Anolis sagrei: one gene and its partner. The protein of the gene in region 1 interacts with the protein of each later gene in a biochemical or structural test. Links are inferred from orthologs where the notes say so. Each region holds a gene or a part of one and is shown in the gene's direction. Other genes may lie near its edges.

Region 1 (9,712 bases):
AAATGTTGTAAACCGCAATGAGTCGCCGTCTTAGGCTGAGATATTAGCGGTATACAAGTGTACTAAATAAATAAATAAATAAATATTTCTTGATTTAAAGCACTGGCGGGCTGGCTGATATTCGAACAGGGGTTGGGCCGGAGATGTCACTGCCTTGGTCCTTTCATTGTTGGCTGCTACTTCCTGGCATCCTGTGATAATGTGGCAAGTCTCATTAAGAGTAACATCCACTGTTTTAACATGGTGAGATGTGTTCCACACTGGGCATGTGTATTCAGCAGCAGAGTAGCAAAGCTCAAGGGCAGATGTCTTCACTGTGGACCATGAGGACAAAAATCTGGTCTGTGAGCCTCCTTTCTCTTTATTTTATTTTATTTTATTTTATTTTATTTTATTTTATTTCTACTCCTTTTGCATTGGCTGCCACTCCTTCCCTTTTACTGACCACTGCATATGTTCTGTATCAGAAACTAGAACTGATGTGGTCTATCCAATGCCATTTTCCAAATCAGCACCCAAAACTGAATCTAAAGTTGATCAAAAACTGATTCATAACCCTTTTGGTATTGATGTTGAAGAGTGGTCCCTAGTCAAAGTAGTCCCTGGTTTAAAAAAAAGGTTTGGGAACCACTGATCTAAGGCCAGAAATTAGACAAGTTATACCTGGGAAGTGTAGTTCACAGATTTTTTCCAAGGTCTGCTCTCATCCCTAGCAATAAAAATAGAAAAAGTAAACAATCTGCTTCTTTTTCATGAAAGTGATACACAAAATCGGCTATGGAAAGCAGATTGTCCATTCTGGATGTGTCTGGATTGTAGAATGAATACAGGTTGACATCACTTTAACTGCCGTGGCTCAATCATGGGAATTTGGCAGAGAAAACAAGAGACATTGTAAAACTACATTTCCCATGATTCAATTGAATTAAACTATGGCTGTTAAAGTAGAGTTGAACCGCATTAATTCTATAGTGTATATACTATAATGTTGAATAAAAGGGTCAGGCCTGCTAGAATTAGCACTTTTTGCTGGCTTTTCAGTTGACCTTTAAGAGCAGTTCTTTCAACAGTGATGTGATTTGGAAGAATTGGCAAATAAGCTTCTCATTATGCAGAGATAAACGTTATAACTCACCATCTACTCACTAGAACCCGAAATTCAGCAATTTAATCCATAGATCTTCCACTAGTTCAATAAAGTGGATGAATGTTTCTCCACCAACACAATGAAATTCGAAATTCAGTTTTGTTTCAGATCTGTAACCTCCAGGAGAGTACATTGTGATCTTTTGCACATGTTATAACCATCTTTGCCATTGGCCCTAATTGGCATTCTCGCTGGAGTCTTCTGCAGGAAAGAAAAAAAAGCTGAGGATTCTGGGAATGCCTTGAAAGGGAATGTCCCGTCATGATCCCTTTGATGTTCTTTCCATATGAAAATCAATCAGCATGAAGCCATAAGCAAAGCAGATGGCAAGGCTTCAGAATCAAGGCTTCCATCCTAAAATGCATTTGTGCCAGTCATGGGGTTACAGCCCCGGTAACATGATAAATAAGTGTTTGGAGGAGGAAAGAGATGCTTTACTGCAAACTCTATGAACAAAATTATGAATGTTGGCATCCGGTGTGGGTATTCTAACCTTAAACATTATAGCATTGATTCTGCCCTTTACATTTCTGGGGGAGAAAGGACTAAAAATGCGGCTTCAGTATCTGCACTATTTTTGTCATCTAATTACTGCATTTTATTTAAGATTAATGCGATACATATTTCATTTTTAGGTGTACTAGCAGATCATGTTCCCGAAGAAACATATATGGGCTAAAAGTATTTGCCTGCATTACATATACCATGGAAATGAGTAAGATTGCATAAAAACTGTATCAAAATCAAAGGAATATTTAATAATAATAAAACTTTATTTATATACCACTCTATCTCCCCTGGGGGACTTAGGGCAGTTTCCAAATTGTAAAAACACAAATCCATACAGAGTAAGCAAAAAACAAACAAACAAAAACAGACCAACACATACGCATAAAACAGTCAAACAACACATGTACAATAAAACCAATCAACCTTATTCTTCATACTAGGATTAACTATTAGGGCCAAGCAATCTTTTTGTGGACTGAAACCAAACTAGAAATGGATGTATCTGGAATTTTTCCACTCAGTCCTCAAGAGAGTGATCTCTGGAACAAGTCCAATTTGGGATAGTTTGATATTCTTATTTGGCATGTAGAATAATAGAATTATAGAATCATAGAGTTGGAAGAGACCTTGTGTGCCATCTAGTCCAACCCCCTGCCAAGGAGCAGGAAAATTGCATTCAAAGCACCCCGACAGATGGCCATCCAACCTCTCAGCTCAGGTCCTCCCTCTTTAAAGATTTCAGAAGGGATCCCATCAGGTCTGCTGGCTTTGTTATTTTTTGTTGGTTGATGACATTGCTGACTTCTTCCAAACTAGGCAGTGCTGCAAACTCATCCCTGATTTGTGGGAGAACCTCTTTGGCCACATTCGAGCTGCGGTTCTGGAGGCTTTGGTAGTGTTCTTTCCAACGTAGTGCAATTGATTTTTGGTCCTTCAGGAGTTTGGTTCCATCTGATGAGCGTAGAGGCTGTATGCCATGGTTTCTTGGTCCATAGATGACCTTTGTGGCTGTGAAAAATCCCTGAGCATCACGGGTATCTGCCAGGTGTTGGATTTCTTCAGCCTTCTTTGTCCATGAGATGTTCTTAAGTTCTCTTGTCCTTCTTTGGATCTTAGTTTTTGCACTGGTGTAGATCTTTTTCTTATGGGTCTCCATGGCTTTGACTAGGCGGATCTTTGTTGCCAGTGTGATGTCTCTACTCTTTACTATTTTATTGAGGTTGGACCTTGCTCTCCTCCCAAGAAGTAAGGGTCTTCTGATTTCCTGGCCACAGTAATCTTTGCACCTAGAAATACAAAGTCTGTCACAGCCTCCACATTTTCTCCCTCTATTTTCCAGTTGTCAATCATTCTTGTTGCCATAATCTTGTTTTTTTTTTTTTAATGTTTAGCTGCAACCCAGCTTTTGTGCTGGGCTACACTGACCATGCAGACTGTGGCCAGGAAATCAGAAGACGCTTACTTCTTGGGAGGAGAGCAATGTCCAGTCTCGATAAAATAGTAAAGAGTAGAGACATCAGACTGGCAACAAAGATCCGCCTAGTCAAAGCCATGGTATTCCCTGTAGTCACCTACGGATGTGAGAGCTGGACCTTAGGGAAGGCTGAGCGAAGGAAGATAGGATGCTTTTGAACTGTGGTGCTGAAGGAAAGTTCTGAGAGTGCCTTGGACTGCGAGAAGATCCAACCAGTCCATCCTCCAGGAAATAAAGCCCGACTGCTCATTGGAGGGAAGGATACTAGGGACAAAGTTGAAGTACTTTGGCCACATCATGAGTGTCATGCGTTAGCATGAGTAGCATGCAGATTGACTCTAGCCCAGTTAACTGTGTGTGTGATGAATTGGCTCTTAAAAGAAAAACACATGAGTAGAAAAGAAAAATATTGTAGTATTGGCAGCATACAAAACAAAATAGCAGGATTGCTGTTTCCACAAAAGTAACATGAAACAATATCTTCTGAGAGATATCATTACTCAGCTGTGATAAGCAGGAATCCTTGTCCTCTTCCCATGGCTGTGTCTTCGCAGGACATCTGCAGCATAGTCCCTGGCTTACACAAGGCAGAATGGCACAGAGGCATAGATGCACAATGGCAAAGAAGCTAAACACACAGTAGCTATCTTTATACACATGAAAATAATACTCTCAATTAACTCTTCAATTAACTCAAACAGCTGTAGCACAAACAGCCTTGAACTTTACAGCAACTTAAAGTTATAGCACAAACAACATTGATCCTTACAACAACTTAGATAAAGTACGTTACAACCTCTTAGTAGCAACAATGAGGAGACAGCAAAGCCTAGAGAAGACAATTATGCTGGGGAAAGTGGAAGGCAAAAGGAAGAGGGGCCGACCAAGGGCAAGATGGATGGATGGCATCCTTGAAGTGACTGGACTGACCTTGAAGGAGCTGGGGGTGGTGACGGCCGACAGGGAGCTCTGGCGTGGACTGGTCCGTGAGGTCACGAAGAGTCGGAGATGACTGAACGAATGAACAACAACAAGTGAGACTCTACTGTATCATCTGCATATCTAAGGTTGCTAATGTTTCGTCCAGCAATGTTAACTCCAGCCTTGGATTCATCAAGTCCCGCACGTCGCATGATGTCTTCTGCATACAAGCAGAATAGGTTGGGTGAGGGCAGGGCCGTAGCCAGAAAAAAATTTCGGGGAGGGTTGACAATTTCGGGGGAGGGGGGGTTGAAAATTTCGGGGAGGGTTGAAAATTTTGGCAGGGGGGAGGGGTGAAACCTGCCTCCTAGCTCACGCTGAAGCAAAGAGTACAGCAGGGGGCAGAGCAACCTTCAATAGCCTGCAGCTCCACCCCTGTCAACCAACTCCACCAAATCTGGCCTTCTTAATGAGAGCATTCAACACATAAACCCCCAACTTGGTTGCTTCACTACATCAGGTATTGCTGCAAGTAATGACAGTGTGAGTAAATTGTCAATATTTGCTTGAGATAGTGCTTACAATTCTGGAGGGACTCTTAATTTTTTGCATCTCATAGACTTAGCATGGGGATTTGGTTAACCAATTAAAATTCATGAGTAAATCAGGTTTTTTAAAAAAATCTGAAACATTTCGGGGGGGGATTGAACCCCTAAAACCACCCCCTCGCTACAGGCCTGGGTGAGGGTACCCTGCCTTGCTGTACTGGGCTACACTGACCATATAGTCCACTTTCAAATTGCATGATATGCCAGTGTTGATACTCCCAGGTTCCTATTGACAGGACAACTTTTCCCCTCCTAGAACCAGTGCAGCTGAACCCAAGGGATGGACAGCAACAGAGAAGCACTTTCTGGCCAGGAAGGAAGCCTTGTGAACTACACCTCCCAGCGTGCCTTGCGAGCGCCTTTTCCTGTGAAGGAGGAGGGGGAGGAAGAGAAGGAGGAGGAAAGGAAGGAAAAAAAAAAGCCCAAGGCGAGGAGGGAGTGTGGGTGGGGAAAGCGACGCCTCTGTTCTCCTTCCTTCCTTCCTTCTTCCTCTCTCTCTCTCCTTCTCTTGAGGCTCAGGCGGCATCTCCCCCCTCGCCATAACCGAGAAGGCAGCGAGAGAGCGGGGTCTGGGGTCTGGGCGCCTGTCTCTGGAAGGGAGAAGGGAGCGATGCGGAGGGGAGGAAAATGGCAGAGCTGCAGATGTTACTAGAGGAGGAAATCCCTTCTGGGAAGCGGGCTTTGCTCGAGAGCTACCAGAACCTCACCAGGGTCGCCGACTACTGCGAAAACAACTACATCCAGGTAAGAAGGGAGAGCCAAGGAGGGAGGGAGGGAGGCAGGCTCGCCTTGGAAGGGGCCAAGACCCACGCCTGCCTTCATTTCCTTCCTTCCTTCTTGCTCGCCTCCATGGCAGGAGGAGGAAGAAGGGGGGAAGGAGCCACTCGCCTTACAGGAAGTGGGCAAGGGCTCTTGCAAAGGGAGGAAGGCCAGCCAGGCCTTCCTCCCTTTGCAAGAGCCCTTGCCCACTTCCAATGGGTGCATTGTGACCCCACTTTGAGTTGTCAGGATTCAATGCTAGGAGTTGTAGTGGACAGACTTTTATGGAACTACCACTCTCAGGTTTCCATAGCCTTGAGCCTCAACAACCACAGTGGTGTCAAACTGTGTTTGCTGGACAGTGTTTTTGTTTGTTTGGTTGCATGAGGAAGAATTTGCAGACTGTGAGATCCGTTCAGCAGTGGAACTCTCTGCCCCGGAGTGTGGTGGAGGCTCCTTCTTTGGAAGCTTTTAAGCAGAGGCTGGATGGCCATCTGTCAGAGGTGATTTGAATGCAATATTCCTGCTTCTTGGCAGAATGGAGTTGGACTGGATGGCCCATGAGGTCTCTTCCAACTCTTTGATTCTATGATTCTATGCTGCAAGTCGCTTCTGGTGTTAGACAATCAGCCGTCTACAAAGACGTCACCCAAGGGATGCGTTTTTTAAATACATTACAGTTGTATCCTCAGTTTGCTTCTGATACGATAAATAAATGGACAGTGTAAATCAGGCATGGGCACACTTCAGCCCTCCAGGTGTCTTGGACTTCAGTTCCCAGGAATCCTAGTGTTGGACTGCAATGCCCACCGGCTGTTAGGAATTGTGGGAGTTGAAGTTCAAAACACCTGGAGGGCCAAAGTTTGCCCATAGAATCATAGAATCAAAGAGTTGGAAGAGACCTCATGGGCCATCCAGTCCAACCCCATTCTGCCAAGAAGCAGGAATATTGCGTTCAAATCACCCCTGACAGATGGCCCTCCAGCCTCTGTTTAAAAGCTTCCAAAGAAGGAGCCTCCACCACACTCCGGGGCAGAGAGTTCCACTGCTGAATGGCTCTCACAGTCAGAAAGTTCTTCCTCGTGTTCAGATGGAATCTCCTCTCTTGTAATTTGAAGCCATTGTTCCGTGTCCTAGTCTCCAAGGAAGCAGAAAACAAGCTTGCTCCGTCCTCCCTGTGGCTTCCTCTCACATATTTATACATGTCTATCATATCTCCTCTCAGCCTTCTCTTCTTCAGGTTAAACATGCTTGTTCTCCAGACTCTTGATCATTTTAGTCGCTCTCCTCTGGACACATTCCAGCTTGTCAATATCTCTCTTGAATTGTCGTGCCCAGAATTGGACACAATATTCCATGCCTGGTATAGATGCACCCTAAGGTGGACCAGACCAGGGGTGCAGCCTACATGGTAGAAGTACTGGGGTTCCACACCACTTGAACTGCTATGGCTCAACGCTATGGAATTGTGTGTGTTGTCATCTGGTGAGGCTATAGAATTCTTTGGCAGGGAAGACTAAGGACCTTGTAAATCTACAATTCATAGAATTCAATAGCACTGAGCCATGGCAGTTTTATTATGCTTTTAAAGTAATTACGTTGTTTTAATTTACTTACTTTTGGTTAGTAATAATAATGATAATGATAATCTTTATTTATCCCAACACCATCTCCCAAAACGGAACGAGGGCAGTTTACAAGGCACTTTTTTTTGTCGTGTCAGGAGTGACTTGAGAAACAAGGCACTACAAATGTAGTATATTATATAAAAGGTACATGGGTATAAAAACAATATAGCACAACAATTATAATAACAACCACTATTAACACATAAAATAAAATATAACACAGTTTAAAATGCAGAACATTTGTAGTTAAAACTAGCAGCCTTCAAATCACAATTACAGTGCCAAAGTGTCAACCTCATATGGGCCCATTTCAGCCTACTCAAGGCCAAAAGCCTGCTTAAAAATCAATGTTTTTAGGCTGGATCGGAAAGAGTCAAGGGTGGGGGCTAACCTAATATCTTTTGAGAGGGTATTCCAGAGCCAGGGAGCCACTACTGAGAAGGTCCTCTCTCTCATCCCCACCAACCATGCTTGAGACGGAGTCCCCGGTGGCGCAGTGGGTTAAACCCCTGTGCCGGAAGGACTGAAGACCTGCAGGTCACAGGTTCGAATCTGGAGAGAGGCGGATGAGCTCCCTCTATCAGCTCCAGCTCCTCATGCGGGGACATGAGAGAAGCCTCCCACAAGGATGACAAAAACATCAAATCATCCAGGCATCCCCTGGGCAACGTCCTTGCAGACGGCCAATTCTCTCACACCAGAAGCAACTTGCAGTTTCTCAAGTCGCTCCTGACATGACAAAGAAAATGCTTGAGACAGTAGTGGAACCGAGAAAAGGGCCTCCCTTGCTGATCTCAAAGCCCACGCTGGTTCACAGAAAGAGATGAAGGACCCAAAGCATATGTGGCTTTGTAGGTAATAACTTGCATCTTGAAATGAGCCCAGAAAATTGTCGGAATCCAGAGGAGCTGCTTGGGTATGTTCCCTATAGCTAGCTCCAATTAGTAAGCTTATAAGTTTATATTGATGTTGTTTCATTCATTGGTTCAATTTGGTTTTGTTTTCATTATGGCATTGAATGCTTGCCATTTTTTTGTTTGGAAACCGCCCTGAGTCCCCTCGGGGAGATAGGGCGGGTTATAAATAAAGTTTTATTATTACTATTATGGCAGTCCAAGTGGTGTCAAACTATAATAAGTCGACAGCAGTGGTTCTCAACCTGTGGGTCTCCAGGTGTTTTGGTCTACAACTCCCAGAAATCCCAGCCAGTTTTCCAGCTGTTAGGATTTCTGGGAATTGAAGGCCAAAACATCTGGGGAACCACAGGTTGAGAACCACTGCTCTACAGGTTGAGAACCATTGGTCTAAAGTGTAGATCAGGCCCGGGCAAACCTGGAGGGCCCAAGTTTGCCCATGCCTGATGCAGATGTACACTTGGAAGAGTGCTGAAGATGGTTGGGGTTTTTTTGGGGGGGGGGGGGGAGAAGAAGCCAAATTTGGTTCAAAGAGGTAAGAGAGGAGGGCAAACCAGGGAGAGAGAATAAGGGGGTAGGAAAGAGAAATAAAGATGAAGAAAAAGAGAGGGGGTAAGCAGCACAATGTCTCAGAAGGTGCATCTACACCAGGCATGGGTAAATTTTGACCCTCCAGGTGTTTTGGACTTTAACTCACAATTCCTAACAGCCGGTAAGATGGCTGGGAGTTTTGGGAGTTGAAGTCCAAAACACCGGGAGGGCCGAAGTTTGCTCATGCCTGTCCATTTATTTACCGTATCAGAAGCAAACCGAGAGTACAGTTGTAATGTATTTAAAAAACACAAAGTTTTAAAACTTGGCATTATCAAATGCCACTTGGAGTGCCTCTGGTGTTGCTATAAGAAGCATGTGGCAGGGCTCAGACTGCACTGTAATAGGTGGTATGTGGTTTGTTCTTCTCCACACTCAAATGTCATGGACTCCACTTTGTGGCCCCATTTCTTAAGGTTGGCTCTGCACCTCGTGGTGCCAGAGTGCAGTCTGTTCAGCGCCTTCTAATTCGCAGAGTCTCCTATGTACCCAGGAAAGGGAATCTCTCATTTGATACAGCCATGGCTTGAGGTTCCGGGTTTTAGCCTGCCACTTTTGGACTCTTGCTTGCTGAGGTGTTCCTGAAAGTATCTCTGCAGATCTTAAAAAACTATTTCTTGATTGAAGGGAGACATGAGAGAAGCTTCCCCAAGGATTGCAACACACCCAGATGTCCCCTGGGCAACGTCTTTGTAGATGGCCAATTCTCTCACACCAGAAGCGACTTGCAGAAGTCTCTCATTCAGTAACAGTCATGGTTTGAGGTTCTGGGTTTTAGCCTGCCACTTTTGGACTCTCGCTTGCTGGGGTGTTCCTGTGAGAATCTCTGCAGATCTTAGAAAACGATTTCTTCATTGAGAGGAGACACACGAGAGAAGCCTCCTTGGAGGATTGCAACACATCCAGACATCCCCCTGGCAACATCTTTGTAGGTGGCTGATTCTCTCACACCAGAAGCTAACAGAAGTGATTTGCAGGAGTCTCTCATTCGGTATCAACCATGGCGTGAGTTTCCAGGTTTTAGCCTGCCACTTTTGGAGTCTTGCTTGCTGAAGTAGTCCTGCAAGTATCTCTGCAGATACTTGCATGGAGAGAAAAGGTGTGGGAAGGCAACACAATGTCTCAGAAGATGCATCTGCACCAGGCATGAGCAAACTTTG
Region 2 (10,470 bases), on another chromosome or scaffold:
ACAATTCAGCAAAAAATAAAGTGCAGTAGCAATACAAAAGTCGTCAGCAAATCTCTTTGAAGCCCAGCCACAATCGCTTCTTGCTTCTTGGGAAAAGAAAAGGGCCTGAAGCTGTTAGGAATTGTGGGAGTTGAAATCCAAAACATCTGGAGGGCCAAAGTTTGCCCATGCCTGCTCTATGCCAATCTTCAAACAAGATTCACACTTTTCCAGTCCACATTCTGCCTACATTTATATAGCTGTCCTCATGTGCACCTTCTTGGGAGCTCTTTGTTGAATCCTATTTCAAACAGGACAATGAGTTTGGGCAGTAAGATAATATAGACAAGTATGAAGTATGGCTCCATTAAGTTCAAGAGGTCATACTTTCATGTGAGTGTGTGCAAAGATGCATCTAAACCAGTGGTTCTCAACCTTCCTAATGCCGTGACCCCTTAATACAGTCCCTCATGTTGTGGTGACCCCCAAACATAACATTGTATTTGTTGCTACTTCATAACATTCATTTTACTACTGTTATAAATCATAATGTAAATATCAGATATGCAAGATGTATTTTCATTCATTGGACCAAACTGGGCACAAATACCCAGTGCACCCACATGTAAATGCTAGTGGGGTTGGGGGAGGATTTATTTTGTAATTTGGGAGTTGTAGTTGCTGGGATTTATAGTTCACCTACAATCAAAGAGCATTCTGAACTCCACCAGCGATGGATTTGAACCTAATTTGCCACACAGAACTCCTATGACCAACAGAAAACACTGGAAGGGTTTGGTGGGTATTGACCTTGAGTTTGGGAGTTGTAGTTCACCTATATCCAGAGAGCACTGTGGACTCACGCAATGGTGGATCTGGACTAAACTTGGCACATATACTCAATATGCACAAATTTGTGAACACTGGTGGAGCCTGGGGAAAATATACCTTGACTTTTGGGAGTTGTAGTTGCTGGGATTTATAGTTCATTACAATCAAAGAACATTCTGAACTCCACCAATGATAGAATTGGCTCAAACTTCCCACATGGAATCCCAATGACCATCAGAAAATAGTGTTTTCTGATGGTCTTTGGCGACCCCTCTGACACCCCTTCGCGACCCCCTTAGGGGTCCCGACCCCCAGGTTGAGAAACACTGATCTAAACTGTACTATTAATGCAGTTTGGAAAATGGAAATCTCCAGAACCTTTTGGAGATTTAATGTCCTTAGGGATGACCTTAGAAGTCACAACTTTTTGAAAATTGATGCCATAACATCTTGATAAAAACATGCCCTGTTACTCATAAACAGAGGAATTCCAGATAAGAAACAATCAGGGACTGCTAATCATCTCTCAACAAAGGATTCCCCCAGGCAATAAGCAGCCAGACCTTGAAACTGCTAGGTCATTAAATGCTAATCAAGGTGGCCAATTGAAACATTCACACCTACCTCCAACAGACAAGAGTTTTTTCTCCCACCCTCGAGTGGCTCTGGGCCCAGACAAATGCACCTATTTTACCTGTCTGACCTCCTCCTCTGCCTCTCAGATCTCGCTCCTGTAGACTGCAGTGAACCGGTGCAAGTGCACATGTGCAAGATCTGAGAGGCAAAGAAGGAGGTACAGTAATAGGAAAATTACCATATTGAAATCAAATCTGATGCTTTTACATTTTTATTTGGTGTGCGTTGGAAGAGGGGTAGTCTTATATGGCGAATATATCCCAAACTCTATATTTTAACTGGAAAAGTTGGGGGTCGTCTTATTTATTTATTTATTTATTTATTAGATGCACTTATTGACCGCCATTCTCAGCCCTTACGGGCGACTCATGGCGGTGTACAGTACACATAAAAAGACAGTTACAGAGGCCAGTATCAACAACATATGACTATACAACAAATACAAACTACATAAAAATCCGCTTCGTCTCTTAGTAGAATCATAGCCAGTCTCATTTTCCTTGTACCATTCCAGTTCTCATTACCGTAATGTTGTTGCTTAGCACTTAATTAAATGCCCTCTCGAACAGCCAGGTCTTAAGGCTTTTTCGAAAGGACATGAGGGAGGGCGCCTGTCTAATGTGTGCCGGGAGAGTGTTCCACAGCCGGGGGGCCACCACCGAGAAGGCCCTCTCCCTCGTCCCCGCCAGCCGTGCCTGTGATGCAGGCGGGATCGAGAGAAGGGCCTCCCCAGACGATCTCAAGGTCCTCGTGGGCTCGTAGGCCAAGATGCGGTCAGAAAGGTATTTTGGGCCGGAACTGTTTAGGGCTTTGTAGGCCAAGACCAGCACCTTGAATTGGGTCCGGTAGCAAATCGGCAGCCAGTGGAGCTGGGACAACAAGGGCGTTGTGTGCTCCCTGCTACCCGCTCCAGTTAGTAACATGGCTGCCGCACGCTGGACCAGCTGAAGCTTCCGGGCCGTCTTCAAGGGCAGCCCCACGTAGAGAGCGTTGCAGTAATCCAGGCGGGATGTGACAAGAGCGTGTACCACCGTGGCCAAGTCAGACTTCCCGAGATACACCCAGTCGTCTTATATGCCGCAATATATGGTAGTTTCTCTGTGTAGGTAACACCGGGCATCATTCTTATAAAGTCTATACCGCGCTCTGTTCCTGCTGACTTCTAAAACATACATCTATTTCTACTGAAGTCTCTAAGTATACATTTCCTGCACTGAAGTCTGAATCACACTTTTCTACTAAAGTCTAAACTGAACAGTGTCCTAAAAGAGAGTCTGAGCCCTGAACAAGCCCAGACCTGATCACGTGGTCTGCCGCCCCTCCCATAACAATGAGTTAAGGTCAAAGTGCATACCAATATGCACATATACAAGACAGTAATCAATCTGAATTATATACATAACAAATCACTAGGGGAGGCTTGAGAAAGTTGCTATTTCCAACAATAACTGCCATGGATCAATGCTATGGAATCATGAGAGCTGTAGTTTGGTGCAGCACTCTTTGCAACCTTGCAAAACTACAACTCCTATGATTCTGTAGTATTGAAGTGATATCAAACTGTATTAAGTATGCAGTGTAGAAGATGCACCCCAGGTACATATATATATAATAAGCCCTATAGGTGTTCCTGAGAGTTCCTGTTAAATGTTTTTCATTACTGAGCAAATGTGGCATGTTTATTCTAAACACGGGGATAGAAGTGTATTTTTCCCCACATAGTTTATCGTGTCATTCTCAACAAACTGTGATAGAGAAGTTAAGCCAAGCCTAGTGGAGTTGAAACAAGAATCCTATTTGCCATGATGTGGTGTTAACTGGATAGACGTAGGTGCGGAAAATATTCCTGCAACTAAATGCAAGGGGAGAATGCTAAGAATTCGTTCAGAAAGTGCTAACGCAGATCGAATTCCAAGGTGCAAGGCAAGCAGAAAAAACAATCGGAACAGCTAATAATAAGGAATTCAAGGCAACTCTGCTGTAGGGAGAACTGAATAGTAACAAGAAGCTTCAGCGGTAATATATGCAGTGCACGTGACCTTGGTAACCCTCACAGCCAGCAGCTCTTAAACTCAGCCTTGCATGCAGATAGCTACCCTGTATCGCATGTAATAACTGCCTGCGTGTGTGCAACCTATTTCCATAGTTATAAACTGGACACATGTTTTACTCAGAATTTTTTTTTTGGTCGTGTCAGGAGTGACTCCTGGTGTGAGAGAATAGGCCGTCTGCAAGGACATTGTCCAGGGGATGCCTTGATGATTTGATGTTGTTATCATCCTTGTGGGAGGCTTCTCTCATGTCCCCGCATGAGGAGCTGGAGCTAATAGAGGGAGCTCATCCGCCTCTCCCCGGATTCGAACCTGCGACCTGTTGGTCTTCAGTCCAGCCAGCACAGGGGTTTAACCCACTGCGCCACTAGGGGCTTACTCAGAATAAGAACTTCTGTATGGGTTTTAGTCTGCGCTGACAATTATACCTTTGCCTACATACAAAGGTATACAGTCTGTCTACACTGCAGAATGAATGCATATGGCTACCACTCTAAGTGCCATGGCTCAATGCTATGGAATCCTGGGAGTTGTAGTGTGGTGAAACACCAGTGCTCTATGGTTGAGAATGCTACAGACTTTGTAAAACTACATCTCCCAGGATTCAATAGCATGGAGCCATGGCAGTTAAAGTTATGTCATGCTGCATTCATCTACAATTAAAAAATCATAACAATAAATGAAGAACAATATTTTTAAAAAAACTATTTACTTTGTTTTTGACATTGTTTCTTAATGCCTTCTTATTTTGACGTTTGTACATATTTTGGTGCTGGTCATTGATTGTAAATGTGTGTGTGTGTGTGTGTGAAATGTCCAGGGTGGGAGAAAGCCTCTTGTCTGTTTGAGGTAGGTGTAAATGTAGCAATTGGCCACCTTGATTGGCATTTAATGGCCTAGCAATTTTCAAGGTCTGGAGCTTCTTACTGCCTGGGGGAATCCTTTGTTGAGAGGTGATTAGCTGCCCCTGATTGTTTCTTGTCTGGAGTTCCCATTTTTCAAAATGTTGTTCTTTATTTATTGTCATGCTACAACATAGATTCACCCAGGAGGGAAGCAGTTGCTATGCCTAGAGGCGCAAGGAGGTCCTCAATAATAATAATAATAATAATAATAATAATAATAATACACTTTATTTATATTCCCCTTTATCTCCCTGGACGGACTCAGAGCGGATTACAATACACATATGAAGCAAACATTCAATGCCTTTTACACACAGTGAACAACAGCATACAACACAGACAAAGGTAAAGGCCTTCCCCTTTTTTTCATATCCGGTGTCTAGAGGCGATGCTCAACTCCAGCCATGGGGAGGTGCTCTTGCTCCATTCTCCCATGCCAAGGAGCCTGTTGTCCATAGACATCTCCGATTGTGTTGCCAGCATGTCTGCATGGGGCGCCCTTTTACCTTCCTGCCAAGGTGGTAACTATTGATCTACTTGCATTTCATGCTTTAAAATTGTTAGGTTGGCAGAAGCTAGGGCTGGCAGTTGGGAGCTCACCCCAACTTGTGGCTTTGAAGTTTCAACCTTCTGGTTAGATTTCCTGCAGCTAGCAGTTTAACCTGCTTGTGCTACTGCAGGTAGCACAGCGGGTTAAATTGTACCAATCAATCAATTGTAATTTTACAAGGTTTTAGTCTTCTCCCGGGAAGAGTACCAAGGCCAAGATGGATGGATGGCATCCTTGAAGTGACTGGACTGACCTTGAAGGAGCTGGGGGTGGTGACGGCCAACAGGGAGCTCTGGCGTGGGCTGGTCCATGAGGTCACGGAAAGTCGGAGACGACTGAACGAATGAACAACAACAACAATAGACTAATACAAAATATTTTGAAAGATTATAGAAGTGTTTTTTAAAAATAAATATATTATACATATATGGCTGGAGTTACACTTAAAAATGTACCTGTTCCGACTTACACACAAATCCAACCCACAGAACCTATCTGGTTCGTAACTTGGGGACTGGCTGTAGTTTTGAAAGAATTTGGCCTCCTTTTCCAAAGAGTGCCGGTGTGCCTCCTCACACCGCAGCTGCGATGGACTCCACGGCAGATGGAGCAGTGCCAAGGCTGCGTGCACACTCCACGGTGCAGATGCGCTCAGTCAGGAGGGACGTGAGCAGCACGGTGTACCTACTGACCGACCCGCGGCTAGGTAAGTAGTGCGCAAAAAAAAAGGGAAGCGATACGGAGAGCGGCCGGCAGGGGGGGCGCGAGAGAGCGTGCTCATCGCGGTGGCAACGCCGGGCGGAGGAGCCTGCTTGCCTCCCGCGCGGATTGGGCGAGCCCACCTCTGGGCGCCCCCTCCCCCCCTTTTGAGATCCCGCATGGAATGCACGGAGAATGCAGAGCAGGTCCAATAGGCGCGGCTTGCCCCTGGCCCCGCCCCCTCGGCGCGCCTGCTCCGGAGGCCTGGCCCCTCCCTCGCCTTGCAGCCCCCTCCCCTCCCCCTGAGAAGCCGGTCTCTCCGCCGCCTGCCTTGCTCCCTTCCTTCCTTCCTTTCTTTCTCCTCTCCCCTTCCTCTCCCCTCCCCTCCCCGAAAGCCGGGGTTCTCCCGCGTAATCCTCGCGGCGCCTCGAGGGTCGCCTCTCTCTCCCCCTCCCTCCCTCCGCGCTCTTCTTTCCTTTCTTCCCTCCCTCCCTCCTTCCTTTCGGACTCCCCGCTGTGGCCGGCGGAGGGAGGGTTGCCAAGGCAGGGACTGGCTGGCGCCTGAGCAGAAAGAGAGAGAGAGAGAGAGAAAGGAAGGAGAGAGAGAGGGACCCTTGCCTCCGCTCCTTTTCCTCCTTTGGCCTCCCGCTCCCATTGAGAAGAGGAAGAGGAAGGAAGACAGGCAGGAGCTGGGCCTGGGGGGAAGGCGCCCCCCGCCCGGACCTTGGGCAGCAACATGAGGTAAGACAGAGGAAGGAGGAGGGGGAGGAGGAGGAGGAAGGGGCTCCTTGACTTGATCAATAGGAGGGAAGCCATTATGGAGGAGGAGAAGGGGGGGGGAGGGAGGCACCGTGTGTGTTTAATGGGGGGCTGGTCCTAACTGGGGAGAGGGAAGGGGTTCTTGTGGGAGAGGATTGGACTAGGAAACCCAAGGAAGTATTCAGTAGGGGGTTTGATAGGAATATGGGGGCCTCTGGTCTGGGAAACCCCAATAAGGTGTTCAATACGGGGTTTAATAGGAACATGGGGGCCTCTGGACTGGGGAAACCCAGAGATACACAATAGGGGGTTAATAGGAATAAGGACTCTGGAGTGGGAAAACCCAAAGAGGTATTCAATAGGGGGTTTGATAGGGATATGGGGGCCTCTGGTCTGGGAAACCCCAATAAGGTGTTCAATAGGGGGTTTAATAGGAACATGGGGCCTCTAGTGGGAAACCCCAATAAGGTGTTCAATAGGGGATATAATAGGAATATGGGGCCTCTGATCTGGGAAACCCCAATAAGGTGTTCAATAGGGGGTTTGAATAGGGATATGGGGGCTCTGGACTGGGAAAACCCAATGAGGTATTCAATAGGGGGGTTGATAGGGACATGGGGGCCTCTGGGCTGGGGAAACCTAGAAGTATACAATAGGGGGTTAATAGGAATTAGGGGGCCTCTGGATTGGGAAACTCCAATGAGATATTAAATAGAGGGTTTAATAGCAACATGGGGCCTTTGGACTGGGAAACCCAATAAGGTGTTCAAAAGAGGGTTTAATAGGGCTATGGGGGGCTCTGCACTGGGAAAACCCAGAGATATACAATAGGGGTTAATAGGAATAAGGGGGCCTCTGGATTGGGAAACTCCAATGAGGTAGTCAATAAGGGGTTTAATAGGGATATGGGGGTATCTGGACTAGGAAAACCCAATGAGGTATTCCATTGGGGGTTGACTAAGAATATGGACTGGGAAACTCCAATGAGATATTCAATAGGGACTTGAACAGGAATATGGGGCCTCTGGACTGGGAACCCCCAATGAGGTATTCAGTGAGGGGTTTAATAGGGAAGTGGGGGCTTCTGGACTGGGAAACGCCATTTCGGGGAGGGCTTAATGGGGGTCTGGGCTGTGTTTGGAAGCAAAGGGGTGCAAGGAGCAGAAAGGGGAGCCCTTTCGCGCAGTCCGGCCATTCAATTCATCCCCCATCGACTGAATTGCGTTGTATCCCCATTCCTGTTATTGTCGGGTCTTCCTCCTCCTCCTCCTCCTCCTCTTTCCCATTGTTCCTTTGCATGGAAAGTGGGGGAAGTTCTTGTGTGTGTTTTGCCGGTCGAGGCAGAGCAGGCGACGACTGCTGTGTTCGTGGGGGATCATCATGGCTCATCTCTCTGGCTTTTTTGCGGGGCTTTTGTTGCAAGCCAGGGCTGGAAGGAGGAGAGGGTTGGCTGGTTGGTGCGCAGGAGGGAGGGAGGGAGGGAGGAAGGAAGGAAGGAAGGAAAGAGGGAGAGCCATTCATTTATTAACGGGAGGGGGATTCGGCATGGATGCGTTTTGCTTTGGGCGGGGGGCGAGGAGGAGGAGGAGGGCCAGGCTGCTTCTTCCAGCGTCCTTTTAGGATTCGCTTTGGGAAACCAGACTCGGAATCACCTCGTAGAGTTGCCGAATTCAAGGTGGAGACGAGGAAAAAGCCGTGTGTTGCAATGCAGCAGTCCCTGCTGGGTTTTGTCTTTTGTGTAATCGATAAATAGGAGGAATTGGGGGGGGGGGGGGAGAGAGAGAGAGAGAGAGAGAGAAAGCGCTCACACAATGCTTTGGGAATCTCGAATATTTGTATTTAGGTTTTGTTTTGGTCTCCCTATCGAAGGAGGCATGCCTGTCCTCCTTCTCCCTGCATGAACCCTGGAGAAGAAAAGGGTTCATTTCCCCTGGAAACACTCGCGAAGGAGGGGGGGGGGAGAGGGAGGAGGCTCCTCTGTTTTGCATTCTGCAACTACTCCTCTGCTTTGATGCAACACTTAAAATTGAGGCTCAGGAGGTTGTTTTGCATTAGGATCCAGGGAAAGCTATTCCTTCTGCCAGAGTTAAACTAGACCTTCTCCCAGGCACTTCATTTGGATTTCCTTTGCAGCACTTGCAGTTGCAAAGTCCATGTAAGATTCATAGTGAGATGGTCTGCCATTCCTGTTTTGTTTTTTTTTTTGGAGAGAGAGACAAAAATCAAGCAGCCTGACTGCACCAAGAAAATAAGTGCATAGAATCATAGAGTTGGAAGAGACCTCATGGGCCATCCAGTCCAACCCCCTGCCAAGAAGCAGGAAAATTGCATTCAAAGCACCCCCAAAAGATGGCCACCCAGCCTCTGTTTAAAAGCTTCCAAAGAAGCAGCCTCCACCACACTCTGCAACAGAGAGTTCCACTGCTGAATGGCTCTCGCAGTCAGGAAGTTCTTCCTCATGTTCAGATGGAATCTCCTTTCTTGTAGTTTGAAGCCATTGTTCCGTGTCCTAGACTCCAGGGCAGCAGAAAACAAGCTTGCTCCCTCCTCGCTGTGACTTTCTCTCACATATTTTTACATGGCTGCCATGTCTCCTCAGCCTTCTCTTCTTCAGTCTAAACATGTCCAGCTCTTTAAGCCGCTCCTCATAGGGCTTGTTCTCCAGACCCTTGATCATTTTAGTCTCTTTTCTCTGGACACATTCCAGCCTGTCAACATCTCTATTAAACATGCTGTATTAAACTTTTTAAAGTGATTTTTTTAAAGTCTCAGGCTATGCGTTCTTAGAAGCTTTGAACACCTATGAAATGCTCCGCTACTTTATTTGCTCTTTAAATAAATGTATGGTTCTTTACATACACATCTCTTGTATGTGTGTAGGGCAGGCATTGGGAAACTTCAGCCCTCCAGGTATTTTGGACTTAATAATACAACTTTATTCCCTGCCATCATCTCCCAGAGGGACTCATGGCGCCCTACAAGTCACTCAAAGGTGCAGCACATAAAATTAAAAAAAATGCAGAAACAATAATATAAAACAGTAACAGCCAACATAAATATCTTCGTTCATAAAACCCCTTGGTTAAAATCAATAAAATACAGCAATAGCTGCGTATATAAAACAACAATAGTCTATCTTAGTCATATACAGTGCTTAGTAATATCTGTGGGTTCTCACATATTTATTAAAGGCATCTAACTCTGGTCGAAGGCTTGTTGAAACATCCATGTCCTAGGCTTTTAGGAATTGTGGGAGTTGAAGTCCAAAACACCTGGAGGACCGAAGTTTGCCCAGGGAGAAGTGGCAAATAGATTTCCCAAGTCCTTAGAAAACACAGAGTAGTGGAAAATGTACTTTCTAACTCAGATTGAACTGATGTTTCATGCTTTTGGTATCATCCAATCACTCTCTGTCTATACCTGGGATTACATTGTTGCCAGAACACATAGAAATATTCTTATGTTTATTTATGCCCCTTGTTTTTTCTCCATAAAGGAGACTCAAAGCCGTTTCGGAGTATTCTGAAATTTGTCAAATTGTTTTCTAATCTTGGGTGGTGGTATGCCCCTATGCTTCAAAATTGTTTTTAGGAACTACAGCAGGCATGGGCAAACTTGGGCCGCCCTCCAGGTGTTTTGGACTTCAACTCCCACCATTCCTAACAGCCTCAGGTCCTTTCTTTTTCCCCCTCAGCTGCTGTGGCCGAGGGGGAGAAGGAAAGGGCCTGAGGCTGTTAGGAATGATGGGAGTTGAAGTCCAAAACACCTGGAGGGCCCGAGTTCGCCCATGCCTGAGCTACAGCTTCTTGTGCATATTTTATTACGCAGAGATACCAAGCTGCCTTTGTAGGGACCTCCCATTAACTGTAAGTCATGGCTCTAAAATGAGTTGAACACATGGCAAAAAGATGGAGTAACATGTGTTAAAGTGTTGGGTGTTGACAAGTTATTATGAATGTATGCATTCAGCTTGACCCTCTTAGACTTGCTATCCATGGCTTAGCTTACTTCTGCTCCAAAAGAGAGAGAGAGAGAGAATTCCCTCCACTCAGAAATGTTT

The links. The genes of interacting proteins can lie anywhere in the genome.
Region 2: the proteins of ABI1 (region 1) and ENAH form a complex in vitro, tested with the Homo sapiens proteins (2 studies listed by BioGRID). The link is inferred for Anolis sagrei from reciprocal best matches to the Homo sapiens genes ABI1 and ENAH.

The regions. Positions count from the first base shown.
Region 1 is NC_090026.1:110,124,305-110,134,016, reverse strand, and holds the start of ABI1 (abl interactor 1), read left to right. Parts: upstream 1-5,051; 5' UTR 5,052-5,287; coding exon 5,288-5,404; intron 5,405-9,712. UniProt on the Homo sapiens protein: May act in negative regulation of cell growth and transformation by interacting with nonreceptor tyrosine kinases ABL1 and/or ABL2. May play a role in regulation of EGF-induced Erk pathway activation. Involved in cytoskeletal reorganization and EGFR signaling.
Region 2 is NC_090021.1:39,442,726-39,453,195, reverse strand, and holds the start of ENAH (protein enabled homolog), read left to right. Parts: upstream 1-5,940; 5' UTR 5,941-6,387; coding exon 6,388-6,392; intron 6,393-10,470. UniProt on the Homo sapiens protein: Ena/VASP proteins are actin-associated proteins involved in a range of processes dependent on cytoskeleton remodeling and cell polarity such as axon guidance and lamellipodial and filopodial dynamics in migrating cells.